Stegostoma tigrinum: one gene and its partners. The protein of the gene in region 1 purifies or fractionates together with the protein of each later gene. This does not show direct contact. Links are inferred from orthologs where the notes say so. Each region holds a gene or a part of one and is shown in the gene's direction. Other genes may lie near its edges.

Region 1 (7,859 bases):
ATCTACATACTGTGTCAGGAAGCCCTCCTGCACACACTGGACAAAAACTGACACATCTATAGTACTCGAACTATAGTGTTCCCAGTCAATATTTGGAAAGTTGAAGTCCCCCATGGCAACTACCCTGTCTCTCTCACTCCTATCGAGAATCATTTTTGCTATCCTTTCCTCTACATCTCTAGAACTATTCGGAGGCCTATAGAAAACTCCCAACAGGGTGACCTCTCCTTTCCTGTTTCTAACCTCAGCCCATACTACCTCAGTTGACGAGTCCTCAAACATCCTTTCTGCAACTGTAATACTGTCCTTGACCAACAATGCCACACCTCCGCCCCTTTTACCATCTTCTCTGTTCTTACTGAAACATCTAAATCCTGGAACCTACAGCAACCATTCCTGTCCCTGCTCTATCCATGTCTCTGAAATGGCCACAATGTCGAAGTCCCAGGTACCAACCCATGCTGCAAGTTCTCCCACCTTATTCTGGACGCTTGTGGCATTGAAGTAGACACACTTCACACCAACGTCTTGCTTGCCAGTGCCATCTTGCTTCCCTGAAACTTTATTTCGGACCACCCTACTCTCAACCTTTTCTATAGTCGAACTACAATTTTGATGCCCACCCCCTGCTGAATTATTTCACAGCTTTACTTTTTGCTTTGTTGTTAAGTAGATATTGCGATGATTTGAGACAGAGATGAGGCAAGACACGGAATTGTTGGCAAATTGTATCTGCTATCACATTCAGAGGAATTCTTTGTGGATAGACTAGCCAGAAAGGGCCTGTCTATGTTGTCTCTTCCCCTCTGCATTATCCTGATAGCTGATGCTAGTTATATTCAAAGTGCACATAGAGAAGTCATTACGCCCACTGAATGCATGTCAGGACTCAGCAATTGCGACAATTTCATTTGCTCACTTTATCCCCAAAGTACTCTACATCAATTTTTTCCAAGTGCCCATCCAACTTGAAACCATTGATCATTCTTGTTTCTGTACTTATTTTATACAGGCAGACTGCCTAACACCACCCTTTAACTCAGTAGGAAGCTGTACATAACAATAACATTCCACTGACTATTCGGGACACCATTCATCCTTCCAATCCTGCTACATTGTTTACACAACTTTAAATTTGTGCACCATAAGCTAGTTTTGCTGTCCTCTACCCAGTTTCTAAACCTTTCAATCATCCATTTGTCATCAAAATGAGCCCTCCTGAGACATCCTGAGTGGAGAATTCGTTCCCCCTGGGTTGTCCTACCCATTTCACATACCCATCTATTAATGTTCATTCAGAGAAATTATCAGATCATAAATCAACAAACAGAGCATACTGGCCCATATGTCGGGAGCACCTTAGCCCCTCACTGTGATTTCAGGATCTGTGAAAATTATTCTTTAACTCCTGTCGATTTGCTGTCCTCCATTTGTACATACGCACCAACAGATTAAAGAACAGCTTCTTCCCCACTGTTATTAGCCTGCTGAATGGACCTCTATAATTTCAAATCTATTGTTGATCTGGCTTCGTGTACCTCCTGTGCAGCTGTGACCTTGCGTGTCTCGCTCTGTCTAAGCACCCTATGATCTGTGCGTCTTTGTTGGCTATGATCTGCCTTTATTGTTCACAAAACAATGTACTTTCACTGTACTTAGTTACATATGACAACAATAAATCAAACCAAATCAAAGTCAGCAAAGAGGACTTTATTATTCATTCAGCAACCTGCACTCCCAGGGATTGTTCATCAAAATTAATACTTTGCTGTGGTAGAGCTGCTTTTAATTTGTATGACATGGGAGCACAGTGTCCTAATTATGGAAAGCAGTCTCAGGGATCTTTAATGTGTCCTGCTGGCAACGAGCAAGAGGAGAATCAGTTTATCCCTACTGTTTTGAAATGGTCTGTGAACCACATTCAACAGTGTGAAAACTTGGGTTATATCTGGTGACAGTATTTTCAGCCCAAAACTATAGGCTAAAGGACTGGCACTGACTGGTCTGTTACTGAATGGGATATCATTGCGGTAATGAAGGAGTATCTCAAAACAGGGTTCTGAATTCAGGTTGACAAATTCAACACAATACTGAGGGTGTGCTGTGCTGCTGGTGAGAGGTAAAAACAAGATTTTCATTCACATGCAGATGCTAAACATAAAAATAAATTAGATTAGCTCTTAAGTGAAAGGATCTTCAGCTGACAGCCTCCCAGATCACCCAGAGGGTGTGCGATCCCTCACACCTGGCTTCTATCTCCTTCCCAAAATCAATAAACACGTCTGCCCATTGTCTCTGCTTGCTCTTGTCCCACAGAAGTCATCTCTTCCTACCAGGACTCGTTTTTTTTTTCCCCTTGTCCAGTCCCTTTCCCTTACATCCACAATTCTTCTGACACTTTACATCAGTTTCAGAATTTCCAGTTTACAGGCTCCGGTCACCTCAGCTTCACTATGGACGTGTAATCCCCTTACATTTCCATTCTCCATCAGGATGGTCCCTGCTGGAAAAAAGGCCTGAGCTGTCCCCATTCACCACCGCCCTCCTCTACCTGACCAAGCTCTTCTTCATTCTGAACAACTTCTCCTTTAACTTCTCTCACTTTCTTCAGATCAAAGGCTATGGGACCTGCATGGGTTCCACTTATGCCTTTCCCTTTGTGGGGTACATGGAATGTTCCTTGTCCAATCTGACAATCTCTGACTCCTTCGTTCTCTTCCTCAACTTGTCTGATTCCATCTCTGGCAATCAGCTGGCCACTTATATCTATTACAATCCCATCGATTCCCACAGGTGCCTAGACTTTACATCCTCACACCCCATATCCTGTAAAGACTCCAACTCATTCTCCCAGTTTCTCTATCTTCATTGCCTCTATTCTAATGATACCACTTTCTATAACAGGGCCTCAGAAATGTACACCTTTTTCCTCAGCTGAGAATTCCCCACCATCATAGTTGACAGGGTCCTCAGCTGTGTCTGACCCATATTTCACATTTCGGCTCTCATCTCTTCTCTTCTCTTCTCTTCCCTCCACAATGTCAATTGTGTCATCTTGGTCCTCACTTTCCACTCAACTAGCATCCACTTCCAAAGGATCATTCGCCACCATTATCCTCTTAGGGACCCTGCTGCCTTCAGGGCATAATATTGAATTGAATAATTTCAGCACCTGAGCAACCTCTCCCATGTTGTTCCCTCACGCTCACACAGCAGGCCTTGTCATCATATCGGCTACGTTCACCTCAGACAGTCCTGGGAGGCAAAGTGGTTAGCACTTCTGCTTCACAGTGCCAGCAACTTGGGTTCAATTCTACAATCAGAAGACGACTGCACATGTGTATAGTTTGCACATTCTCCCCTTTTCTTTCCTTTCGATGCTCTGGTTTCTTCGCACAGTCCAAAATGTGCAGGTTAAATGATTGTCCATGCTAAATTGCATGTAGAGTCCAGGGCTTGCAGGCTAGTGGATTAGCCATGGAAAATCCAAGACTCCAGGAAAAGAATCGGGGATGCATTTGGGTGAGGTGATCTTCATGGAGTCAGTGTGGACTCAATGGGCCAAATGGCCTGCTTCCACACTGCAGGGATTCTATGAGCCTATTTTCACCCACCATTGGGCCCCATCTCACGGGCTCATCATTGCCCATTGCTGTCACAAAGTTGCCGGAAAAGCTCAGCAGGTCTGGCAGCATCTGTGAAGCAAGAAAACAAGAGTTAACATTTCAGGTCCTCACACCCAGTTCTGAGGAAGGGTCATCGGACCTGAAACGTTAACTCTGATTTTCCCTTCACAGATGCTGTCAGACCTGCTGAGCTTCTCCAGCAACTTCTGTTTTTGTTCCTGATTAACAGCATCCGCAGTTCTTTCGGGTTTATCTGTCCCATGCTGTTTTCCCTCTATCTGGACTCTGGCTATCTTCTACACCTTCCCCTCCAGAATAGATATAAACCTTTCCATGGACTTTTGAAGGAGGGTCATGTTGAATCTCTGATACAACGAGGTGTGGGGTTGGATGGACACAGCAGGACAAGTGGCATCTTGGGAGCAGGAAAGCTGACGTTTCGGGCTGAGACCCTTCATCAGGAAAGGGGGATGGGGAAGGGTCTAGGCCCGAAATGTCAGCTTTTGTGCTCCCAAGATGCCACTTATCAGAGATAATGGGAACTGCAGATGCTGGAGAATCCGAGATAACAAAGTGTGAGGCTGGATGAACACAGCAGGCCCAGCAGCATCTCAGGAGCACAAAAGCTGACGTTTCGGGCCTAGACCCTTCATCAGAGAGAGGGGGATGGGGGGAGGGAACTGGAATAAATAGGGAGAGAGGGGGATGGGGTGAGGGCCTAGTGATGAAGGGTCTAGGCCCGAAACGTCAGCTTTTGTGCTCCTGAGATGCCACTTGTCCTGCTGTGTCCATCCAGCCCCACACCTCGTCATCTCTTGTTGAATCCCTGCTTTCTCTCTCTACACATGCTGCCAAACCTGCTGAGCTTCTTCATGTTTGTTTTAATTCACGTCCACGTGCTGGTTAACAGTGAATGCTAGTTAATGGTTAAGGTTTATGTTAGTTAGTGATTGGAGGACAATTAATAGACGCTGATCTTTACCTGGCAACCAATTGGGCGGGAGAACCAGGAGAGAACATGCCCTCTGAGCTCATTGGCTGCTCGGCATGAACGCCCCTCCGGATTGGCTGGTAGGCGGCCAATAGAAGCCCGGGGTGGCAGCGAGGCGGCCAACTGGAAGTCTGGATTGGATGCACGGCAGTTAGAGACTCCAGGATTGGCTGTTGCGGACACCCAATGGGAGACCCTAGCAGGCGGCGACCTGGCCAAAGGCCTTCGAGAACGGCCGCACGGCGGCCAATGGGAACGCGGATTACTGGCACGGCGGGCCGGATAAGAGGCGGCGTCACGTGATCGCGGGCCTCAGTCAGCGGCGGTGCGGCAGGATGGTGAGTTGGTTTGCGCGGCGGAGAGGCAGCAGCTTTGTGTGGGTGGGGAGGCCTGAGGCGACGGTCAAGCCCCACCCGGGGCCACATGGCGACGGCGAGTAGGCCTAGGGTCCGGGTCAGGCCGCGCCTGATCCGCCCCATGTGTGCGGAGGGAACTTGGAGGCCCTTTGCGAAGGAAGGGCCCGCTGGAGACAGTCCAGGGAAGTTTGAGCCGCCTCATACCAGGTTTGGAGAGATCCCGTTGTGAGGAGAGGTTGAGCCTTTACTCATTAGAGTTTGGAAGAATTAGGAGTGACTTTAGTTAAATGTACAGGATTCTTAAGGAAGTTAAACAGAAGACTGCGGATGCTGGAAATCTCAAACAAAAAATGTCTCTGGAGAATCCTAATAGGTCTCGTGGCCCCAAGCAGCATCCCACACCCCTGTAACCCGAATGTAATGGCCAGTTAACCCATCCAGACTGCCTACCGTGGGTAATTTAGCGTGGCCAGTCCACATCACCCGAGCATCATTGGACTGTAGGAGGAACCCAAAGCTGGCACTAAGCCCGGGTAATAAAATGTGAGGCTGGATGAATACAGCAGGCCCAGCAGCATCTCAGGAGCACAAAAGCTGACGTTTCGGGCCTAGACCCTTCATCAGAGAGGGGGATGGGGGGAGGGAACTGGAATAAATAGGGAGAGAGGGGGAGGCGGACCGAAGATGGAGAGTAAAGAAGATAGGTGGAGAGAGTATAGGTGGGGAGGTAGGGAGGGGATAGGTCAGTCCAGGGAAGCCCGGGTCCCTGGCACTGTGAGGGTAATCACTGAGCCGCCATGCTACACTATGCTGGCTCCAGTGACACTCCAAACAGCCCCCTCCACAGTCCGGTGATTCCTAAGCGACTTGATTGTAGAGGAATCTGCAACCGAAAGCTGTAATTTCTCAGCAACTGAAGACAAACTTTGGATTTCATTTGTCGTGAATCTGCAGTTCCCTCCTGTAGAATCTGAGCTGTTAAGGTAGTCAGAGCTGAGATTTATAACGAAGTGACTGGGGGGGAATGCAGTTATGGTGAAAATGGAGGAAAATAAGGTTCAGGATTATCGGGAGCAAATTACTGCAGATGCTGCAATCCGTACTGAAAACAATAAATGCTAAAGGCGCCATCTGACCAAGAGTCACCTACGCTTGAAGCGTTAGCTTGCCGTGATGTTTCATGGATGTTGCCTGACATGCTATGATCGCCAGTGTTATTTTTTGTTTTCAGTTCAGTATTTAGATTGGCTTGGATCTCATTCAGTGGCCTAATTCTGCTCCTGTGCCTTACAATATGGTTCAGATTATATCTCTGTGTATGTCTTCGATGGTGATGACTGTTACTGTGTCTAGCCCGCATACTTGCCTTTATTAGCCAAGGCATAGAGTAGAAGCACAACGTGGTTATAATGGAGCTGTAAATGTTAGTTAGGTCACCGCTAGGGTGCTGTGTGTTTCTGGTTGCAACATTATAGGAAGGGTGTCATTGTACTAGAGATGGTGCAAAAAGAATTCACTAGGTTGTTGCTGTGGCTGAAATGATCCAGTAATGAAGAGAGTAGTTGGCCTGGTTGCTTTCCTTAAAGCAAACTACAAATGCTCCCGTCTGAGGACAGAGGCCAGTTTTTTTTTTACTAATTCCTGCTGGGGCATTTAGCACCAGATCAGGTTCCTCCAACGCTACCTCTGATCCAGGCAGCATATAATGCACAGTAGCTCACCACCTGCGCCCAAAAGAGATTTGCTCTCCTCTTCAGACGGCAAAGGCATCGAGGCTGCATTATCTGCCGTGTCCATCTCGGATTCTGAAGTATCGTCAGTGCTTGCTGGAGAGGAATAGCCCACCAGTTCCAGAATAGTCAGAAAGGCAGTTGGGGAGCTGGGCACATTTTAATTTTGCCCTGTTTGCACGTTTGAAGTGTTCATACGGTTCTGTGCTGTACTCTTCCTGGAAGTTTGGGACAAGGTTGAAGGAACTGCACTCGATATGCATCCACAGCTTTTGTTTTATTATGCTGTTGTAAAAAGTCATGATTTAGTCTCCTAGTTACCTGAAAGGCTGAAGTCAGTAACTTGAGCAAATTGTGGAGCTGGATGAACACAGCAGGCCAAGCAGCATCAGAGGAGCAGGAAAGCTGAGGTTTTGGGGCCAGGCTCTCTTCAGAACTGGGGGAGGGGAAGGGGGTTCTGAAATAAATGGGATGAAAGGGGGAGACGGATAGAGGAAAAGATAGGTGGGTTGGGGGGGACACCAGTCAAAGAGGCAGGGATGGAGCCAGTAAGAGTGAGTGTAGGTGGGGAGTTCAGGAGGAGATAGGTCAGCTCAGGGTGGATGGACTGGTCAAGGGGCGGGATGAGGTTAGTAGGTAGGAGATGGGAGTGGGGCTTTAGGTGGGAGGAAGGACAAGTTAGGGAGGCAGGGACAAGCTGGGCTGGCTTTGGGATGCGGTAGTGGGAGAGGAGATTATGAAGCTTGTGAAGCCCACATTGATACCATTGGGCTGCAGGGTTAATACCATGTCGAGTGTTCAGGCTTGAAAACGGCCCTGACGGTAATCATCTAGCCACTCTCATTTCTCTTACAAACCAACTTGTTCACCAATTTTCTTTAGGGATTTACAGCTGCCAACATTAACTAGTCGGGCCTACATGTAACTCCAGAGCCATCGCCATGTAGTTTACACGCTCTGTGTTTAAGGGTGGACAATAAGTACTGGCCTAGCCGGTCTTCATGATCGGATATGTATAAATAAATAAAGCGCACAGCACCTGGCCGGAGAAGGTCTGTGTTAAATGTCTGTAGACCCTACAGCTGTCTCAACTGGAATATTCACTTCTGGGTGCCACACTTGAGGCAAGAAAAGAAGGCTTTGGAGAGAGTGATGA
Region 2 (7,457 bases), on another chromosome or scaffold:
CAAATTCCTAGTGGATCTGCCATCCTTACGATCGCTGGTTCATTATTGTTTTCCATTTCTTCTTTTTCTTCCTCCATATAGATTATTAGGTCATTTCTCTGCAATTTGAATTTGCCTCCAGTTTCAACATATCATCTCACATTTCCCACCCTTCACGCTTGTTTTGTCATCAATTTCCTTTCCTTGTGCTGACTGCAAATGTTTCACAGATACGCGGCACCTATCCCCAACCTCACCCATGTTCTTATTATTCATCTCCCAGACTTGACGGTGACCATCAGCAATCCAAATTCCACTTGTGATGGTGGCAATCTGAAATTTGCAATGTGTTTCTTCCCATATATTGAATACTCTTGAGATGTCCAGTTTCATTTCTATGAATGAACGGACAAGGTACGTAAGTGGACAGGACATTCACAGAAATTTAATGCAATAAAGAGGATAAAATTTGTTGGTGAGTCAATGCCAGGAAAATTGTTGAAATAGATAAAAGTGAAGGTAAGATTCCAAGGGGTCCACACAACAGCAATCACCAAACACCAGGAGAAATATTCAAGCACTGTGCATAGCAGAGACATGAAGCTGACCCTCAGGGTCAGTAACTTCAACGATGAGGAAGCTCAGCAGGAACTTGAATGTTTTTTTCATGAAAAGGAGGGCTGGAAGATAATATTCAGGAAAGAGAAAAAGTTTATCTTCAAATATTAATCTAAATAGTAGGGGTAGAAATAGGAGATATAAAATCAAAATTCTAAAAAGCAATTTTCAGACTTGCCAAAAAACTCTTGTTCATGCACAGTGATCAACTTTACATAGATTTATAGTTAGAGTTGTCAATGTTCCCAATTGGCAATCGCCAGGGATGAAAGATCAATCTCCCAGACACCACTGTGAGCAACATAGAAAAGTATTAGCCAACTCTGAGACTTGTGTGCTGTTCCAGTTGTTTGTCAGTGAGTAACCACACACCACAATTGCCACATTATCTTCCACTTTTCTTCAATGGTCAGAAATGCAACTATGTTTTGCCTTCTGCTCCTGCTCCACCATCTAACAATCCAGATGCTCAGCAGCAAATACAACTCTTGGAGACTAAATCTTTCTCTTATGTTTAAATAAATATCACTTACTTATTTGTCTAAATATTTACCAAAGTGCAACAACAAATGCTTTATTTGTCTTCTGCTTCTAGTTTAGTTCTTTCAGTACCACAGACAAACATCCATATTCTGCTAGCATTTATGATTGTGATTAACAATCTTATAATACAAGGTAATCTTTATTTGAACACAAAGTACAGAATCAATATTGATCTGGACACCAGGCATTACTCACCATCTCTTCTTTGAAATAATTTCATGGGATCTTTTACACCCACCTGAGCAGGCAGATGGGATATGAGTTTATTTAATTGATTCACAGGATTTGGGCATTGCTAACTAAGGCAGCATTTATTTCACCTTATTAATTGCACTTGAGAAGGTGGTGCTTAGTTGCCTTCTTAAACTTCTGCAGCTCATGAGGGCTAGATACATTCACAGCACTGTTGGACAGGAAGTTCCACAATTTTGATCAACAACAGTTAAGGAACAGTGATATAATTCCAAGTCAGGATGAAAATATTTGCAGAAAGTGGTGTTCTGCTGCACTTTAATGCCTTGAGCTTCTATGTGATATTGGCCTCATGTCTTGAAGATGTGCTTTTGTGGTGGACAGAGTGAATGCTGAAGATAGTGGATGGAGTGCCAATCAAGTGGACAACTTTGTCGTGGATGATATTGAGCTTATTGACTGTTGTGAAACTGCACTCATCCAGATAAGTGGGCAGTATTCAATCATGCTTTTGGCTGGTAGGTTGGTGAACACGCTTTGCATAGACAGCAGGTGAGTCACTCCCTTTCGGATTCCCAACCTCTGACCCAAATTTGTAACCTCAGTGTTTAAATGGCTGGACCAGTTCATATTCTGGTTAATGTAACTCCTTGGCTGTTGATAAAAGGGAATTCAGTGATAATAATGCCATTGAATAACAAGGATAAATGGATTCCTTCCTGTTGGGGATAGTCATTGGCTCGTACTTGTGTGGTGTAAATGTTACTTGCCACTAACAGAAGGCCACGTTGAACAGCTAACAATGCTTGGGCAAAGAACACAACCCTGAGGAACTCCTGAAGTAATGTCTTGTAACTGAGATAATTGACCTTGACTACCACGAACACTTCCTTTAAGCTAGGTATGACACCACTCAGCCAAGAGCTTTCCCTTCATCTACGTTTTCCCAATCATTCCCATTTACTGTGTTTACTAGCACTTATTGATGCTTGATATAATGCTGCCTTGATTTGAAGAGCAGTCACCCTCACTTGCCCTCAAGTTCAGCCATTATGTGCATGCTGGCGCCAAGGGGGAATCCAATGAGATCAGAAACTGAATGACCCCGGCAAAGGTCAATTCAATGAGCATTTTTATCGCTGAACATGTGGCACTTAATATCATTGACAAGAACCCATTCCACCCCTTTGCAAATGATCAAGAATAGATTTATGGGACTGTAACTGGCCAGGTTGAATCTACCCTGCCTTTTGTGCGCAGGACATAACAGAGTAATTTTCTACTTTTTTGGGGAAATACCAGTGTTGTAGCTATATTTGAATAGCTCAGCATGGACCAATTTTTAATTCTGGAGCACTAGTTTTCAGTACCATTTCTGGTATGCTGTAAGGGACCATAGCCTTTGCAATATCCAGTGCCTTCAGCAATTTCACATGGCACCACATGAAGTGAATCTCTGGATGAAGACTAGTATCTGCGATCTGGGATATTAGTAAAGAGCTGAAATGGATTGGCCCCAACATTTGTGGCTGAAGATGGATGCAAATGTTTTTGCCTTATCTTTTGCACTGAGGTTCTCAACTCCCCTATCATTGAAGATGGTGGGGGGGTGGGGTGGGGGAGGTAAGAGCTTCCAACCCTTGTTAATTGTTTATTGTCTACCACCATTTGATGTGGCAGGACCCCAGAGTTTAGGTCTGATACACTGAATGTGGGATCGTTCAGTGTTGTATGCTGTTTCCACTGTTTTATCATGGAAGTCTTTTTTAGGTCAGCATGGTGCTAGTGGCATGCCATATGCTGAGGCCCAATCTGAAAAACACTTCCAGTCCACTGCGCTGCTGTAAATATTTTTCTTCCCCCATTCAGTCACACCTGTAACTTATTCCCAGATGAGGAAATTGTCTGACTTGAGTTATCTTCATTTCATGTTCCCAGCATGTACCCATAAAGTCACTTTTATGTTAGGCTGCTCTCTCTAGTAGAGAGAAATGACTGTTGGTGGCTTAACCTGAGGATCACGACACCTTAGACGAAGAGATAGTAGGAACTGCAGATGCTGGAGAATCTGAGATAAGAAGGTGTAGAGCTGGATGAACACAGCAGGCCAAGCAGCATCAGAGGAGCAGGAAGGCTGATGTTTGGGTGAAGTGGGCCCAAAACGTAGCCTTCCTGTTCCACTGAAGCTGCTTGTCCTACTGTGTTCATCCAGACTCTACACCTTGTTACCTTTGACGAAGACAGAGTTTGAGGAGGAGAATCCAAAGACAACCATGAGCTGGTGTGGGAATTGAACTCCATGCTGCAAACCAGAATCCAGCCAACTGACCTTCTAATATCTAACAACAGTACTACATAATAAAGTGTGAAGCTGGATGAACACAGCAGGCCAAGCGGCATCTCAGGAGCACAAAAGCTGACATTTTGGGCCTCGACCCTTCATCAGAGAGGGGGATGGGGTGAGGGTTCTGGAACAAATAGGGAAAGAGGGGGAGGCGGACCGAAGATGGAGAGAAAAGAAGATAGGTGGAGAGGAGAGTATAGGTGGGGAGGTAGGGAGGGGATAGGTCAGTCCAGGGAAGATGGACAGGTCATGGAGGTGGGATGAGGCGGTAGGTAGGAAATGGAGGTGCGGCTTGGGGTGGGAGGAAGGGATGGGTGAGAGGAAGAACAGGTTAGGGAGGCAGAGACAGGCTGGGCTGGTTGTGTGCTGCAGTGGGAGGAGGGGACGAACTGGGCTGGTTTTGGGATGTGGTGGGGTAAGGGGAGATTTTGAAGCTTGTGAAGTCCACATTGATACCATTGGGCTGCAGGGTTCCCAAGCGGAATATGAGTTGCTGTTCCTGCAACCTTCGGGTGGCATCATTGTGGCACTGCAGGAGGCCCATGATGGACATGTCATTGAAAAAAATGGGAGGGGGAGTTGAAATGGTTCGTGACTGGGAGATGCCGTTGTTTATTGCGAACCGGGCGGAGGTGTTCTGCAAAGCGGTCCCCAAGCCTCCGCTTGGCTTCCCCACTGCATCCCAAAACCAGCCCAGCCTGTCTCTGCCTCCCTAACCTGTTCTTCCTCTCACCCATCCCTTCCTCCCACCTCAAGCCACACCTCCATCTCCTACCTACTAACCTCATCCCACCTCCTTGACCTGTCCCCATCTTCCTTGGACTGACCTATCCCCTCCCTACCTCCCCACCTATACTCTCCTCTCCACCTATCTTCTTTTCTCTCCATCTTCGGTCCCCCTCCCCCTCTCTCCCTATTTATTCCAGCTCCCTCTCCCCATCCTCCTCTCTGATGAAGGATCTAGGCCCGAAACGTCAGCTTTTGTGCTCCTGAGATACTGCTGGGCCTGCTGTGTTCATCCAGCCTCACATTTTACCATCTTGGATTCTCCAGCATCTGCAGTTCCCATTATCACTTTGAATCTACACACTGCTTTCGAAAACTCCTGCGGTACACTTCGGATCGTCCGGATAAATAAACTAACTGGTATCCCGGCGGTTTTGTGAGGAAGGTGGTCTTTATTCCCGGAACTCTGTGCGCGGTTTCCACATTCCGGCCGGACGGGTATACCGTGTGCACTGGGAGTGAGTGCGGCGGGGAACATCTTCAGCTCAGGTCCGACCAGCGAGGCGGCGGCGGCGGCAGCATGGCTTGGGATCCACAATCCGCCTCAGACGCTGAGGATTCCGACCTGGAGGTTAGTGTGTTACCCTGAACTAGAGGCATCGCTCCCATGACAGCAGCAGCCGTGCTCAGGAAGAGGGTCCGGGGTTGGGAGAATGGGGAGGTGGGGGTTGAATCGCTCGATATAATTTAAAGGCCTGTTCTGTCTGATCTGTGCCCGACTTTCTGATGGCGATAACCACAAACTGTGGAATGGAGGTGACTGGCAGAGGTTCATTTTACCCAAAGAATTGAGGTTTTATTTGTAATTATCACGTGGGAAGTTTGGGACCGTTGGCTGGACCGACATTTATTGCCTGTCTGTAGTTGCCTTCGAGAAGGATGTGATGGGCTGCCGTCTATGTGCTGTGGGTTAACCGCAATACCCTGAGGCGCCTAATTCCTGGATTTTGACGAGTGACAGTGAAGTGAGGGTGATATGTTTCTAAGTCAGGATGGCGGATGGAGGCAAACTTGCAGCGGGCGGTGTTCCAATGTATCAGCTGCCCTTGTCCTTCCAGATGGAAGTAGAGGAGGGTTTGGAAGGCGCTGTCTAAGGATCTTTCAATTCCTTCAGTGCATCTGTAGACAGTATACACTGTTGCTATTGTGTGTCTGTGCTGGAGGGAATGGATGCCTGTGGATTTGATGCCAGTTAAGCTGGCTGCTTTGTCCTGGATGGCATCAAGTTTCCTGAGTGTTGTTAGAGCTACACCCATCCAGATAAGTGGAAACATTCCATCACACTCCTGACTGCACCTTGTAGATGGTGGGTAGGCTTTAGGGAGTCAGGAAATAAGTAACTAACTGCGGTACTCCTAATCTCTGGCTTGGTATTGTCACCACTTTGTATGTGGTGAGGCCAACTCAATTTCTAATCAGTGATAACCCCAGGATGTTGATACTGGGGGATTCAGCAATTGTAGCACAATTGAATGTCAAAGGGCAGTGATTAGATTGTCTCTTATTGGGGATGTTCATAGCCTGGCATTTGTGTGGCACGAATGTTACTTACCACTTAGAGTCATGGAAATATACAGCATGGAAACAGACCTTTCAATCCAACTTGTCCATGCTGACCAGATATCCTTCACAAATCTAGCCTCATTTAGATGACATGTCCATCCTGGGCCTCCTGCAGTGCCATAATGATGCCACCCGAGGGTTGCAGAAACAGCAACTCTTATTCTGCACGGGAACCCTGCAGCCCAATGGTATCAATGTGGATTTCACAAGCTTCAAAATCCACCCCCCCCGCCCCAAAAACCAGCCCAGCTCGTCCCCACCTCCCTAACCTGTTCTTCCCCTCACCTATCCCCTCCTCCCACCTCAAGCTGCATCTCCATTTGCTACCTACTAACCTCATCCCGCTCCCTTGACTTGTCCATCCTCCCCGGACTGACCTATCCCCACCCCACCTATACTCTCCTCTCCACCTATCTTCTCCTCTATCCATCTTTGGTCCGCCTCCCCCTGTCTCCCTATTTATTTCAGAACCCTCTCCCCATCCTCCTTTTCTGATGAAGGGTCTAGGCCCGAAACGTCAGCTTTTGTATTCCCAAGATGCTGCTTGACCTGCTGTGTTCATCCAGCTCCACACTTTGTTATCTTAGCCTCATTTGTTCGCATTTGTCCCATATCCCACCAAACACTTCCTATTCAGATACCAATCCAGATGCCTTTTAAATGTTGTAAGTCTACTGGCCCCTTCTGTTCCTCTGGTAGTTCATTTCCATACGGGCACCATCCTCTGCATGAAAATATTGCCCCTTCGACCTCTTTTCGATCTTTCCCCTCTCACCTAAAACCTATGCGATCTAGGTTTGGATTCTTCCCACCTCAGGGAAAAGACCTTGTCCTGGACAGGTCAAGGGAGCGGGATGAGGTTAGTACGTAGGAAATGGAGTTGCAGCTTGAGGTGGAAGGAGGGGATAGGTGATAGGAAGAACAGGTTAGTGTAGTGGGGATGAACTGGGCTGGTTTTGGGATGCAGTGAGAGGAAGGGAGATTTTGAAGCTGGTGGAATCCACATTAATACCATTGGGCTGCAGGTCTTGTAAATCTTTTCTGAATCCTTTCAGGTTTCACAACATCCTTCCTCTAGCATGGAGACCAGAATTGAATGTGGTATTCCAAAAGTGGCTAACCTACAATGCCACAACATTACCTCCCAATTCCTAAACTCAATGCTCTGACCAATAAAGGCCAGCATACCAAACGCCTTCTTTACTACCCTGTCTAACTACGACTCCACTTTGAAGGAACTATCAACCAGCACCCAAAGTCTCTTTGTTCAGCAACACTCCCCAGGACCTTTACATTCAGTATATAAGTCCTGTCTTCATTTGCCTCTCAAATGCAGCACCTCACATTTACCTAAATTAAATTCTGCCTGCCACTACTTGGCTGAATAGCCCATTCGATCAAGATCCTGTTGTATTCTGAGGTAACTTTCTTT
Region 3 (7,328 bases), on another chromosome or scaffold:
CCATCAACCTCTGCTACATTATGCAGGGGAAAGTTTGATAGAAGCCAGAAGAGGTGTTAAAACACCCAACAGAGAAGTCTTTATTTCTATAATAAGCAAAAGTAAAGTTGCCAAAATTGTAGAGGACGACAGGGCTGCTCGCTCATTTGAGAGCAACAACTGGTGGTGGTTTAACCTAAGGAACACAACTTCTCAGTTTCAGAGGGACAGTCCTTAATGGTAACCTCAGCCAGTGCGGGATTTGAACCCCTGCTGTTGCCATCACTCTGCAAACTATCCATCCTAATGAGCTAACCAACCTCCATTTCTGCTACAGTGCATGATGGAGTCCAATATTATACGCAATGAAATGACACGTGTAAAATAAAGGGCTTCATTTGTATTCCTCAAAAAATATGCATGGGTTTTCACTAAGTAATTCCATTGGTTCTTTCTTTTATCAGATTTGATAAGACCATTGTGGAAGTGCCATCATCAGAGTTTCAAAGAAGCATCTTCACAAGTGCCATTAGCATGGCCAACATCTTGAGGATAAACTGTGAAAAATAGTTTTGGTAACACAATACATAAAATAGAATTATTACAATTACATTGAATATTTTTATAAGTATCAAGTTTAGCTGCAAAAGTAATAATTTTAATGTAAAAGTCTCACATAAATATCAAACAGCAGACTGTAAATATATGTAAATTTAGAGGAAAGAAAATGGTGACTTCAAGAATTAAAGGGTTCCTTCAGCAATGGGACAGGCAAAGTAAGCTGTCGTTTTTTAAATTTTAGACTAGACTATCCCACATTGATGAAAACAAGGAAGTATGGGATGTTAGCCATGTAGATTTGACGCTTACATTATAGGTTTCAAGCAACAGACTGCAATTGTGATTTTTCTTTGAGTTATTCATGAAAGGATAGCCATCGCTTCATAAATCTATGACCAGTCACCAACAAACATAATTTATTTATTTCCAAGAATCAAAGGGAAAGCACTCGAAATAATCAGTTGGTCAGTTGGCATTAATGTAGAGACAAACAGGGTTAATGTTTCAGGTCAATGAAATTTCATTCTGATGAAAAGGTCATCAAGCTAAAACATAAATTTGCTTTCTCTCTCACAGATGCTGTTGAATCTGAAGCTGTCTTCTTTTAGAATTGTTTTGTTTCTATCATAAATTTCAAACATCTGCGTTATTTTACTTTTTCCCTCCTTTTCATCAGAGGAAAACCCTGGAACCATTCTCCATATTTTCTCAAGGCACAAACAATAATTGATTTAAAGTTAACAGTATCAAATAGCAGTATTAAGCAATTTAAGGTTATGCCATAGACAAACATACAACTTGTAAAAATACAATCTAACAGAACATAAAGTGCTCACTTGGAAACACCACATTAGGACAAAAGGTCATCCGATTCATATGCAAAGTCCGTCTAGTCCAACTTCAGTTTTCTAAAGTCATAGAGCAAACTTCCAACCTCTGAGGCCTGGACCAAGTTGAAAGCATGTGGGGAAAATATACACACAAAAATGATACCCAAATCTTGCGCACTCATAAACAATACTTACTCCTACAATTGTCAGGCAGTTTCCCACCACCACCCTTGCCCAATCTTTTTCCATATTTGCTTTTCTTTTATATTCTTCAGTTATTACTTGCACAACAAACAGGGTACTGGGGTGGGGAACAGAAACAGCACATGGGAAAGTAACACAGCTGTAGCAAGGCAGATACCTTTACAGTATAGTCTCATTCATGAAATTGTTCCAATTCATGTGACTTTGTCTGATTCTAAGTATTAAATTGGCTAAACAAATACACTGCTTAACCATAGGAGTTTTTTTTCAGGGACAGTAAAAGGAAAATTAGACAACAATATCCTAAATCATATCTTATATTGGTTGGCCACACTCAAAGAAAGTTTACATGCTATTACGCAAAGATTTGTTCTGCTGAATGTCCTAGTTTTGTCCAAAAAAAGCCTTTCTCTTGTCTTTCTAAAATTTTTCTATGATAAGCTAGGGATGTCTATGCACTCCCAACATCTGAAACAAAAATAGAAATTGCTGGAGAAATGCAGCAGATCTGACAGCATCTGTGGAGTGAAAGCAGAGTCAATATTTTTGGTTCAGTGACTCTTCATCAGAATGCAACACTCCTGATATCACCTCTATCCTACCTCCTCCCAGTCATAAACTGCAGACAAAAAAATACTGCACTAGCACACTTCTTTCCACTTATGTACTGGTTTTGCAGCTGTCAAATCAATGTTCTATGCCTGTAACAAACCCTTCATGCAGGTGTTTTTCTTTACTTTCTGTTGGCTGGCAGGGGTAGCCAAATGTTTTGATTTATATTAGGCAGCCTCATATTTAAAGTTTTTACCAGCAGATACTGTACTAAAGTTAACATATAGCATGAGAATCAGGTGTAATGAGTTGGAATCGGTCAACTTGATGGGCTGAAGGGCCTTTTGTGGACTGAATGATTCTAATCATTGAGACAACATGGTTAACAGTACTTTCCAAACTATTAAGTCAGTGAAATTCAAAGAGGACAAATTAACATTTTTTAGAACAGAGAACAAAATAATTGTGCCGGCATTTTTAACAGGGTATCACCAGAGCTTACAGACGTAATTATCTCGTAATTTAAATAGTCAAATAATGGTGCACATCTTGAAGAAACGGATAATCTTTCCATAGATTCAAATGCAGGGCGCCTCAGTGCATAAAAATCTCTGGAGTTTTTTTGCAAAGAAGTTTCTTAGGAAGATAGTAATTTATAGATGGAAGCAGCATCGTGTTTATTGCCTGAATTCAAAATTAATTTTGATAATATCGAAGTGGATAACATACTGATATGTCAAAATAAATGTCAATCATTCACATTTGTTGAAGAAGTTATTTCAGTACTGACAATTTGATGGACTCACCGTAAAGATAGCAGACTAACTGCGTCAATGACAGGATGAACAGTCTATCTCACAAACTAATGAGATAAGAATTAAAAATAAAAAGAAAAGCAATGTTTGGAGAAATAGAATGGGTCAGAAGTGTGTAAAAAAAGGAAGAGAGAAATGTAAGCTTAAGTGGAAGAGAGTCAAAAAGGAAAAGTTAAACAACACAATTTATAATCTGTAGAGGAGATCCATCTGTCTTAATTATTTCCTTTTAAAGTTAGAGATGAGGTGACTTTGTGGAAACATGAATCTTGTAATTAAAACAGTTCTTACACCATTTAGTACTAGTCCTGCTTTTCTATAACAAGTCAAAATTCATTTTAACAGAGCAAATAGAATAATTTCTTAAAAGTCACAGGTCAGCTGGCTGCCAGCTCCTGCTTTCGCAAAGCAAATTTTGTAATAACATGCAACACATCAGGTTATCTCAAAGTTGCCATGAATAGCTGCGCTACTTACAAATTCATAACTTACAGTGAATTCACTGTTACTTTCTCAGCAAATTCTGGCCTAACGTTTTTGCCCAGTGGATCTTAGTAAACTGTGACTATGTGGAAAATTTGGTTTAATTGGACAACTTTTTTAAAAACTGAAGTGCCATCTTAGAAATGTAAATATGCTTAAAATGTTGTTATGACAACAACCATAAAAATGTGGCATGTTCCCCTAATCAGGAAGTGTTCTATTCCTAGGATTACCGGCAGATTTTATTCCCCGATTGTACGCAGCTCCATTTCAATTTAAAATAAACCCACTGACAACAATACTAGTTCATTGTCTTGACATCTTAAATGTACGTTCAATCACTGAATATCCAGCAACGATGTCTGGATGATGTAGGCAGGGTACATTTCATTCATACCTTTGGAACAGGGCGAAAAATAGGCTTAAACGTAAAAGTTAAAATATCTGCTTCCTTTCAATATGGGCAGAAACAAAAACAGCTCATTTAGGCGCTGAATGAAAGGTGGAATGAACTGAGAGGTGGACACAAGCCATCGCGCGGTTGAAATCTTGACTCCCGGGAGCTGACTGACAACAAAAGAAGCAGCGGCCTGAGCCTCACAAACACCTTGGCAGCCACGCAAAAACAAACTGGAAAAAGACTGCAGGCACAACTTCCACACATCACTCATCTCAGTACAACTCAGCAACCGAAGCCGTCCTTACCCTACTCGGCTGATCCCGAAAGAATATATGATAAAATAATAATAATAACAACAAGAGATCCACAGTCTCCTCCTATACCCAACTATGCCCCTATCGTCAGCATCAGCGGCTCAGCCGTAAAGCGGGTCGGGGATAGAGTATTGACGACATTGACGTGCTCTCTCACTGTGTGTTTACGGCAGGCGATGGGACGTTTGGGACTTTGTCACGTGGATTGCTCTTTTTGCAGCCGGACGGTATGAAGCGGCCGAGTGAGTTGTGTGGCGTGGAATTGTAGTCTTTACTGTTCGTTACATTCTTTTTTTTATCCGCAGGAGTTAGTATTGTTTCGATTCATTGCCCTCATTGTTGCGTTTCCTTACAGAGCTGAAAAAGGCGAGCAAGCGCCTGACATGCCACAAGCGATTTAAGATCCAGCGAAAGGTGAGCCGGGGTGGAATCCACGAGTTGTGGACGCCCCAATATTGGGTACATTGTTCGCTCTGGGAAAGCTTGTGAGATATAATAACCGGATCGTAATGTATTGAAACTGGCTAAAGAAAGAGCAAGTACTTTTATAGCCAACCTGAACTGCGCCAAGCCCCTTCACAATCACCTAAGTTAGTACTTGTACGAGCACGTGGCTTTAAGGCAAACTGCGTAACACATAGTCAAGTACAATTTGGTATAAACTCTTAGTATGCAGTTCGAGCACCTTGCAATTTTTGTACATCACGCTATTTAGAAAAAGTTTACTGCAGCCTATTCACATTTTTAAATGATTGGGCAGGAGTATTGGATGATTAGATTATTAACAAAGAGCAGATGAAATGCATTTTGTAATGATTGAGAAGTTCAGGATACGGATTTAAGATGGAGTTTTGGAAATCTTTTCATTATGTTAAGCTGACGGAAGAGAGATAAACAAGAATAGAGTGGACATATGTGAGCATGACTTATGGTCCTTGTCAACTAAATGTCAACAGACATGTTTCTGTTGTAATTTTAGTGTTTATTCTATATACTTTTTGTAATTCACTGCTTGAATTAGTGTGCAGTTATACCTCATTGATATTTCAAGAAATTTGCAATTTACAATCTATAGAGCCTTTTTGAAGAAAACCACCCAGATTTGACCATTTTTAATAACGTGACAAAGAAACATAGTACTGGGTCATTTGGCCCTTCGAGGCTATTTCTCCGTTTGGAACAATGGCTGATAATTTTGGGGTCTCAGTCTCACAATTTGACTGACTCCATAAACCTTGGATGTGTGTCAATCTTTTTAATTTAGCCTTTGATAAATTTTATATTTATTAGATTGGATTAACTGCAGTGTGGAAACAGGCCCTTTGGCCCAACAAGTCCACACCACCCCTTGAAGTATCCCACCCAAACCCATCCCCATTCCCCTCTAACCCACGTACCCCTGAACACTATGGGCAATTTAGCATGGACAATCCAACTAGTCTGCACATCTTTGGACCATGGGAGGAAACCGGAGGAAACCCACGCAGGCATGGGGAGAATGTGCAGAATCCACACACAGTCACCCAAGGCTGGAATTGAACCCGGGTCCCTGGCGCTGAGAGTCTGCAGTGCTAACCACTGAGTCACTGTGCTGCCCTAATTTAGTGGCACAATTTCCAGTGGAAGAGATTCCACAGACCAACCGCCCTCAAAAAAAAACTTTCTCACTTAAATGGGAGATCTTTTAAACTTGTACTTTGTTTCTCGTGCTAATCTTCCCCACAAGTTGATAAAACCTCTCAGTAACCACCCTATCAAGACCCCCCAGTATTTTAAAAACAAGAATTGGATTTTAGAAATCTGAAACACACACAAAATGCTGGAGAAACTCAGCAGGTTTGACAGCATTTGTAGGGACAGAAACAATGTCTCAAGTTCATTGACATTTGTTGTGACAAAGGGTCAGTGGACCTGAAATGTTGACTCTTCTTTGCTCTCTGTAGACACTATCAGACCTGCTGAGTTTCTCCATGTTGTTTGCCCCAGTATCTTGTATATTTCAATAAGATCATCCCTCATTCTTCTCAACTCAGTGAGTACAAGCTCGGTTTTACTTCTAAACTACTTCTAATACAGTTCTTTTTCAACTGAGGAGAACAAGACTGTATCATTTTCCTGGTGTGGTCTCACCAATGTCATGCACAGCCGCATCTAAACATACTCTGCTTTCATGCCTTTCCCCTTGCAATGAGTACCACCATCCCATTTACCTTTCTAATAACGTGCATGCTTAATTTGTAATTTATAAATCAAAACATCCATCCTCTGTATTACCAAGTTCTGTCGTCTACCTCCATTTAAATAGTGTATGGTTTTTCTATCTTTCCAGTCTAAATGAACAAGTGCTCCTGGGATGCTGCTTGGCCTGCTGTGTTCATCCAGCCTCACATTTTATTATCTTAAGTTCACATTTTCCCCCATTATACTCCATTTGCCAAATTTTACCCATTCGTTATCTTGGAATATTATATGTGATTATCAAAACTGCTTTGAGTGACAGCCAATATCATGGTGCAATAATCCTATAAATTATTTACATTCCTTGATCACTTAAAATCTGTACATATTGTTCAACCTCTGTATTAATATGTGGAACACTGCAGGTGTTACCATTTCTGGACACATTTTTTCAACTTTCAATGAGGTGCCAGCCAGCAAGAAAAATAGTGCTGTTGTAGCGTACAATGCAAAGAAAGAAAGAAACTCGGCAATTATTTTGTTGGGAACTTATTCGAATATATTATTAAACACAGAATGACTGGACACTATAAAAAAAGTGCTGATTAGACAGAACAAATGCAGACTTGTAAAGGATAGGTCTTGCCTAATTAATGTAATTAATCTTTTTGAGCCAGTAACTACTGTTAGGAGGAAAGTGTCTCTATCTAGAAGTTATGAGCTTGATTGGAAAGGAAATGGCTAATAGAGCCCAACAAATATCAGTGCTTGGGCCTTCAACTACCATTGTCTTAATGATTTGATAAAAATAGATGGCAACATTTGTTTGCAAATGATTGCTGTTGTTCTAATTAGGTTAGAAAATAGCACAAGATTACAGAATTGAAAGATTGTAAGTGGACAAAGAACACTTGCTGACACCACCAAAATGGTCTAGATGTGCAAGTGTAAAAATGAGCATGCATAATATGTTTGCCGGTACTGTCAGTGACATCATTCCATCATGTTTATT
Region 4 (7,039 bases), on another chromosome or scaffold:
ATTTTGCATTATTTATTACCACAATAACATAACAAACAGAGATTATCACTTGGAGTGCATTAATTGAATCTGTGATGCATCAATTATAAGATTTTTAAAAAGCCTCTTCTTCATAGTGGCATTGATTTAGTAAGTTTTTCAGAGAGGTCAACATTGAAGATATCACTACAATAATATTGGTATAATTTTTTTAAAAATAGGAGGACTTTGGAAAAGCCCATTAATGGGAGGGATGTTTCTGATAACTTGTGACTTTCTTCAAAATTTTTCTTAATTCTTATGTTTTTCTAAATATATTTTCAGTAATCCCTTCCCTGTAGCAAAGTTGGCCATGCAGCTAGTTTGCAATAGAGTGACACCATCAGCATGGATTCAGTTCCTACATTGGCTGAGGTTACCATGAAGAACTCGCATTCTCAGTTTCTCCTCTCCCATGGGGTGTGGTGTCCCTCAGGTTAAACTGCTACCAATCACCTCTCTCTTTCTTAGATAACAAGGTGTGGAGCTGGATGAACACAGCAGGCCAAGCAGCATCTTAGGAGCACAAAAGCTGATGTTTCGGGCCTAGACCCTTCATCAGAAAAGGGGGATGGGAAGAGGATTCTGAAATAAATAGGGAGAGAGGGGGAGGCGGACCTCCCTGTTTATTTCAGAATTCTCTCCCCATCCCCCTTTTCTGATGAAGGGTCTAGGCACAAAACGTCAGCTTCTGTGCTCCTAAGATGCTGCTTGGCCTGCTGTGTTCATCCAGCTCCACACCTTGTTATCTCAGATTCTCCAGCATCTGCAGTTCCCATTATCTCTGATACAGTTTGGAATTAGATACCTGTTCCTTCAGTATTGTTGAATTAAACCTCCTTCCCAACTGAGGGAGTACATACAATAAATAAACTGCAGCAGTTCAATAATGAGGTTCATTACCAACGTGTCAGGGACAAGTCGGGATGGACAACAAAGCTGCACTTTCATCCCTTGACAGTAAAATAAACAACTCAATTTCCCTTAGCAAATAAAATAACACCGAGAAAAACAAAACTTTAACTGTGAGTGAGTGTGTGAATCCTGAGATTGGGAATGAGCTAAACAGATAGGCATGTTCAGAAGCCCCCTACTACATGCCTCCTATTATTGTCTGTACATGTGGCTAGTTTCAACCTAAAATGATAAAATATTTATTGCTTACAGCTAATTAATTTTTATGGATGTTTTCTGTAAATTTCAAAGGTCCAGGTTCAAAACAGTGGAGGCTTTCTTTCCATAATAATTAACAATCTTGTTGTATATTACAATCTGGCAAAGTAGTGTTTGCAAAGTGTGTCATACTGAACTGTGAGCTATCTGGGATTTACGAATAGATGGTGGTTTGTCAGGGTTCATGATCACAGTTACTCACTGTAGGCTGTGGATGATTTCGAGCAATTTTCTAATTGTTTATTGAAGTAACAGCAGTTTACAGATAGTACAATATGGGTGTGTGTGCCTTGGGGAGGAGGCGTTTAAGAATGTTTTGGTGGGGGGGTAGGTGGAGGGTAGGAGATGAATGTGGGAAGGGGAAGGGGTTGTGCGGGGTGGGAGGGTGGATGGAGGTGGGGAATGGGTTGTAAACCAAGGGAAGTACGCGGAGGTGGTTGGTGTGGGGTGCTTTGGGGTGTGTCAGGGTAGGTGCTGGGGTATATGAGGGTAAGTTGGAAGGGTGGACAGGGGGTGTGTGGGGGGGGAGGGGGATTGTGAGGCAGATGGGGTGTGTCAGGGTGGGTTCAGTGGGGTGGTGTGGAGGTGGGGTCTATGAGGGGGATCCGTGTGGGGGGAGGGCGGTTGTGTGCAGGGGTGTGGGTGGATTCTATGTGGGAGGATGGGGTGTATGTGGGGGAGGTGGAGTGCATGAGGGTGGGGGGGGGTTGGGGATGTGTGAGGACATAGATTGTGTCAAAGGAAGAGATAGGTGTGTGCGGAGTGGATGTTGTGCATGTATGAGGCAATGGGTGTGGGGTTGTGTGCGGGGAGGGTTGGTGTGGGACTGTGTGCGGGGGAGGGGATGTAGAGGTGTATGTGTGGGGGGTGGATGTGGGGCTATATGGAGGGCAGAGGTTGTAGGGCGGTATGGGGAGCGGGGGGTGTTGGTTGAGTTGTGGGGCTGTGTGGAGACGTGTGAGGGGGTGAGAAGATGTGTTCGGGGAGGGGTTGTGGGTGGGGGATGGGTGTGAGGCTGTGTGTGTGTGTGTGTGTGTGTGTGTATGTGTGTGGATGTGGGTATGCGGGGATTTGTGTAGGTAAGGGTGTGTATGGGGGGTGTATGGGGGTTGTGTGAGGGAGTATGGGGAGAGTGTGTTCGTTGATAGGGGGATGTGGGGGTTGTCTGATGGGGTATGTGTATGTGGGGGGACGGGGTGCGGGCAGGGTGTGTGTGTGGGTGGGGAGATGTGGGAGGTATGTCTGTGGAGGGGTCTGTGTATGTGGGGGGAGGGGTGTGGGGAAGTTGTGTGAGGGGATGTGGGGAGGGTGTGTGAGGGGGTGTGGGGAAGGTGTGTCTGGGAGGTATGGGTGTGTATGTGGGGGGAGGGTGTGTGAGGGGGTGTGGGGAAGGTGTGTGGGTGAGGGTGTGTGTATGTGCGGGGAGAGTGTGTGAGGGGGTGTGGGGAGGTGTGGGTAAGTGTGGGAGTGTATGTGGGGTGAGGGTGGGTGAGGGGGTGTGTGGGTGTGTATGTGAGGGGGGAGTGTGTTGGGGGGGTGTGGGTGTGTATGTGGGGTGAGGGTGGGTGAGGGGGTGTGTGGGTGAGGGTGTGTATGTGGGGGGGAGGGTGGGTGAGGAGGTGTGTTGGGGGAGGGTGTGTGGGGGGTGTGTGTGAGGGGGTGTGGGCAAGGGGGGTGTATGTGAGGGGGTGTGGGTGAGGGGGGTGTGGGTGAGGGGGTGTGGGTGAGGGGGAGGGTGTGTGGGGGGGTGTGGGTGTGGGGGAGGGTGTGTGAGGGGGGTGTGGGTGTGGGGGAGGGTGTGGGTGTGGGGGAGGGTGTGTGAGGGGGGTGTGGGGGTGGTGGGGAGGGTGTGTGAGGGGGTATGTGGGTGAGGGTGTGTGTGTCAGAGGGGGGGTGTGGGTGGGGGGGAGGGTGTGTGAGGGGGGTGTGGATGGGTAGAGGGTGTTTGAGGGGGGTGTGGGTAGGGGGGAGGGTGTGGGAGGGGGGGTGTCGGAGGGGGGGTGTGGATGGGGGGGAGGGTGTGGGAGGGGGGGTGTGGGTAGGGGTGAGGGTGTGGGAGGGGGTTGTCGGTGGGGGGGAGGGTGTGTGAGGGGGGTGTGGGTGGGGGGAGGATGTGTGAGGGGGGTGTGGGTAGGGGGGAGGGTGTGGGAGGGGGGTGTGGGTAGGAGGGAGGGTGTGGGGGGTGTCAGGGGGGGGTGTGGGTGGGGGGGAGGGTGTGTGAGGGAGGTGTGGGTGGGTGGAGGGTGTGTGAGGGGGGTGTGGGTAGGGGGGAGGGTGTGGGAGGGGGTGTCGGAGGGGGGGTTTGGGTGGGAAGGAGGGTGTGTGAGGGGGGTGTGGGTAGGGGGGAGGGTGTGGGAGCGGGGTGTCGGAGGGGGGGTGTGGGTGGGGGGGAGGGTGTGTGAGGGGGGTGTGGGGAGGATGTGTGGGGAGGATGTGTGAGGGGGGTGTGGGTAGGGGGGAGGGTGTGGGAGGGGTGTGTGGGTAGGAGGGAGGGTGTGGGGGGGTGTCGGAGGGGGGGTGTGGGTGGGGGGAGGGCGTGTGAGGGGGGTGTGGGTAGGGGGGAGGGTGTGGGAGGGGGGGTGTGGGTGGGGGGGGTGTGTGTGGGGGGGGTGTGAGTAGAGGGGGAGGGTGTGGAGGGGGGTGTCGGAGGGGGGGGTGTGGGTGGGAGGGAGGGTGTGTGTGGGGGGGGGGGTGTGTGAGGGGGGTGTGGGTAGGGGGGAAGGTGTGGGAGGGGGGGGTGTGGGTGGGGGGGGGGGTGTGTGTGGGGGGGGGTGCGTGGGGGGTGTGAAGAGGATAGGGGTGGGGCGTCTATGTGACGTATTTGTGGGCGGGGTTGATGGTTCCCGCCTGCTGCTGCTCCGGCTGTTGGAGATCACGTGGCGAGCGGTCGCAGATAGTGACGCCAATGAGCAGAGGCGGAAGTGACGGAAGGCGAAGATGGCGGTGGCGGTGGAAGAGCTGGTGGCCGAGGCCGAGCGCTTGATCCGGGTGGACCGGCCTCTGGAGTTGGAGCTGGACCTGGGCAACCTGACGGCGCTGGATGCCAACCCGCTCAATTCGAGCTTGTGCCGGCAGGAGGCCGAGGCTTGGCTGCGCTCCCTTGCCCGGGACAACACGCAGCTGCTGCTTAACGCCGTCTGGCAGCTGCCGAGCGAGAAGCTCCAGGAGGGGATCGTGGCCTTGCTGCCCCCGCCCAGTACCCTCATCCCCCGGGAAAAAGCGGTGCCCAAACCCCGGCCGCCTACCCGCTGGGAGCAGTTCGCCAAACTGAAGGGCATCCGGAAGAAAAAGAAGAGCAACTTGGTGTGGGACGAGAGCAGGAAAGAGTGGCGCCGCCGCTGGGGCTATCAGAGAGCCAACGATGAGACCAAAGAGTGGGTCCTGGAAGTACCCGAGTCCGCTGACCCCAGTGAGGATCAGTTCGCCAAACGTGTCGCGGCTAAGAAAGAGCGAGTGGCCAAGAACGAGCTGAACAGGCTGCGGAACATCGCCAGGGCTCAGAAGCACAAGGTGCCCGGTGTCGGTCTGGCCCCCACCCAGCAACAGAGCAAAGCCGAGCTCAGCAAAGCCATTCGCGTGGCGAGAACCTCCACCGCTTCGGTTGGCAAGTTTCAGGACAAGCTCCCCAAGGAACAGGAGGCGAGGAACACCGGCAAGAGGAGGAAGTTCCAGCCCATCGTCGGAGACTTCTCGGCGGAGAAGCAGAAGCAGCTAGACCTTCTCAATGTTATGTCCAGCAAGAAACCCAAACTGGATCTCACGAAGGCTGTCAATAGACAACTTCGAGAAGACGATCAGGAGCAGGCGGCAAAACGAAAGAAAATGCGGCCTAAGGGCAGGAAAGGAGGGAAAAATCACAATCGAAATAATAGGGGAAAAGGTCAGCATCGGAAATCGGGGATGAAGCAGCAAGGAAAGAGAAAATGAGCCATATTGAACTGTTGTTAAATACGGTGCTCCTTGATTTTAAAGAACATTCTAGTTTTGAGAGGGCCTACCTTTGTTTCTTTATTAATTGTGGCCTGATAATTTCTTGCGTTCTGACAGTTTTTTTGTTTTTCATGAACTTAAAATAAAGTGTTTTGTATTTCTTTTGCTATGTGCATCTGAGTGACTATATGTGATGGGACTTGTGCAGAGAGAGCTTAAATTGTACCTGTGGCCAATTGTTTGTATGGCAGAAAGTTCATTACCAGAATTGTCTAGCCAGCAATCCTGTTGACCACTTTGAAAGGGGATTCATTGAAATTATTTTATGTTGTAAGACACTGCATTATGATTAGCAACACAACTAAATGTTGTTAATCTTTTGGAACAGTAGAGTATGTAAGGAAAGCACCAAACCTTTCAATGTGAGTTGGCAGCTCAGTTCCAGTGTGGAGTGGCCTTTTGTCCTCAGGTTAATTATGTCTATGGTTATTTGAAAATACTTGTAGATGACAACTTTAACTCTCCTCAAAGTAAAGGAGCAAATTACTACAGATGTTGGAATCTGTAACTGGAAACAATAAAATGTTGGAGATCATGGTGGGTCAGGCAGCATCCATGGAGACAGAGCAAGTTAGCATTTCAAATCCAGAGCCTCAAAATAGTCTCTCTCTCTGGAAATCCAGTCCATGAGTTTATAGGTTATGATTTCTATCTCCAACAAATAGAAAGGAAGAACTTGTATTTCTATAGTGCCTGCATATATCATCGGATCAAAACCAGTATATTATTTTTTTAAAAACTGTGAATGCTGTAAATTAGAAACCAAAGCAAAAATTGGTGGAAAAGCTCAGTTGGTCTGTCAACACCTATGGCGAGAAATTGGTGTTAACATTTGGGTCCTTTGATACTTCCTCAGAACTCCAGGACCAAAAGGTTAACACTGATTTCACAAGTTCTGCTAGACCTACTGAGCTTTTCCAGCATTTTCTGTTTTTGACAGTATTTAAGAAATTGTCTTCACCAGTACTGACTGTAGACTGTCGTGTACTCTAAAGGTATTCCTGTTACTAAACTTGACTATAGCGTATCAACTGTTTTTGTAAAGTTGTTTTATTTATCGCTGTAGTACCTCATTTGGAGTTTGGGATTTTTGTTTTACACAAATTGCTTGTGTAGCTGAGTATGCAAATAATATATTCACTGTAAAACCCCTTATAATGCCAAAGGATAATGAGGCAAGTCTTGAAATTTTCAGTTCACTTTTCAGTTCACTTTTCAATTCAGTTACTCCTGAATTGTATCCTTTGGTTGTCAAACATATTTATAAAGCATGAATTGCAGTCTGGGGTTAAAATATTTTGAAGCGCAGCAAGTTTTTCTTTTCTATAAATTATACCATGTGGAAAATTAAGAACTATAGGTAATGTAAACTGACAAAATGCCGGAATACTGTTTCAAAATTAACAGCACACCAGAAGAAAGGTAGCGATGTCCACGTAATTAAAACAGTTCTGTTTAATTTCACACCTGACTCCCTGGTTTACATCTTTTCAATTTTCTGACATTTTGCTTGTTAACCATTTACACAAACTTTTTTCCTCAATGGGATTATAAGCAGGTGAAAGAGCAGACCATTTGAGCCGGCATGGAAAATGAGTATAATCTTCAGAGCTCAATGACAGGGAAGTTTGGTGAATGGGAAAGGAAATGTTTGTTATGGGCCCTTTCCATGCAGTAACGATGGGGTCTCGCTGCACTACAGGGAGAAACGTTGGTTAGTTTCTGGTAAACAGTTGAGATCCACTGTTTTCTTAAAATTTAACATAGCATACAAATTGTCGGTAAGTTAAAATATGTAACGCATCAAATTAATAAAGTGGTTAATTAAATAATTAAAACCCATTAGGAATGATAGGAC

What was found.
Region 2: the proteins of nop56 (region 1) and ebna1bp2 purify together in Homo sapiens (affinity purification with mass spectrometry; 4 studies listed by BioGRID and IntAct, with this or other methods). This does not show direct contact. The link is inferred for Stegostoma tigrinum from reciprocal best matches to the Homo sapiens genes NOP56 and EBNA1BP2.
Region 3: the proteins of nop56 (region 1) and gnl3 purify together in Homo sapiens (affinity purification with mass spectrometry; 4 studies listed by BioGRID and IntAct, with this or other methods). This does not show direct contact. The link is inferred for Stegostoma tigrinum from reciprocal best matches to the Homo sapiens genes NOP56 and GNL3.
Region 4: the proteins of nop56 (region 1) and rrs1 purify together in Homo sapiens (co-immunoprecipitation; 3 studies listed by BioGRID and IntAct, with this or other methods). This does not show direct contact. The link is inferred for Stegostoma tigrinum from reciprocal best matches to the Homo sapiens genes NOP56 and RRS1.

Annotation. Positions count from the first base shown.
Region 1 is NC_081354.1:189,149,845-189,157,703, reverse strand, and holds the start of nop56 (nucleolar protein 56), read left to right. Parts: upstream 1-4,849; 5' UTR 4,850-4,952; coding exon 4,953-4,955; intron 4,956-7,859. UniProt on the Homo sapiens protein: Involved in the early to middle stages of 60S ribosomal subunit biogenesis. Required for the biogenesis of box C/D snoRNAs such U3, U8 and U14 snoRNAs. Part of the small subunit (SSU) processome, first precursor of the small eukaryotic ribosomal subunit.
Region 2 is NC_081361.1:65,088,577-65,096,033, reverse strand, and holds the start of ebna1bp2 (probable rRNA-processing protein EBP2), read left to right. Parts: upstream 1-4,454; 5' UTR 4,455-4,982; coding exon 4,983-5,033; intron 5,034-7,457. UniProt on the Homo sapiens protein: Required for the processing of the 27S pre-rRNA.
Region 3 is NC_081364.1:19,750,102-19,757,429, reverse strand, and holds the start of gnl3 (guanine nucleotide-binding protein-like 3), read left to right. Parts: upstream 1-4,311; 5' UTR 4,312-4,367; coding exon 4,368-4,380; intron 4,381-4,493; coding exon 4,494-4,552; intron 4,553-7,328. Other genes in the region: pbrm1 (protein polybromo-1), read right to left, coding at 1,377-1,416. UniProt on the Homo sapiens protein: May be required to maintain the proliferative capacity of stem cells. Stabilizes MDM2 by preventing its ubiquitination, and hence proteasomal degradation.
Region 4 is NC_081358.1:31,724,001-31,731,039, reverse strand, and holds rrs1 (ribosome biogenesis regulatory protein homolog), read left to right. Parts: upstream 1-4,032; 5' UTR 4,033-4,128; coding exon 4,129-5,118; 3' UTR 5,119-6,645; downstream 6,646-7,039. UniProt on the Homo sapiens protein: Involved in ribosomal large subunit assembly. May regulate the localization of the 5S RNP/5S ribonucleoprotein particle to the nucleolus.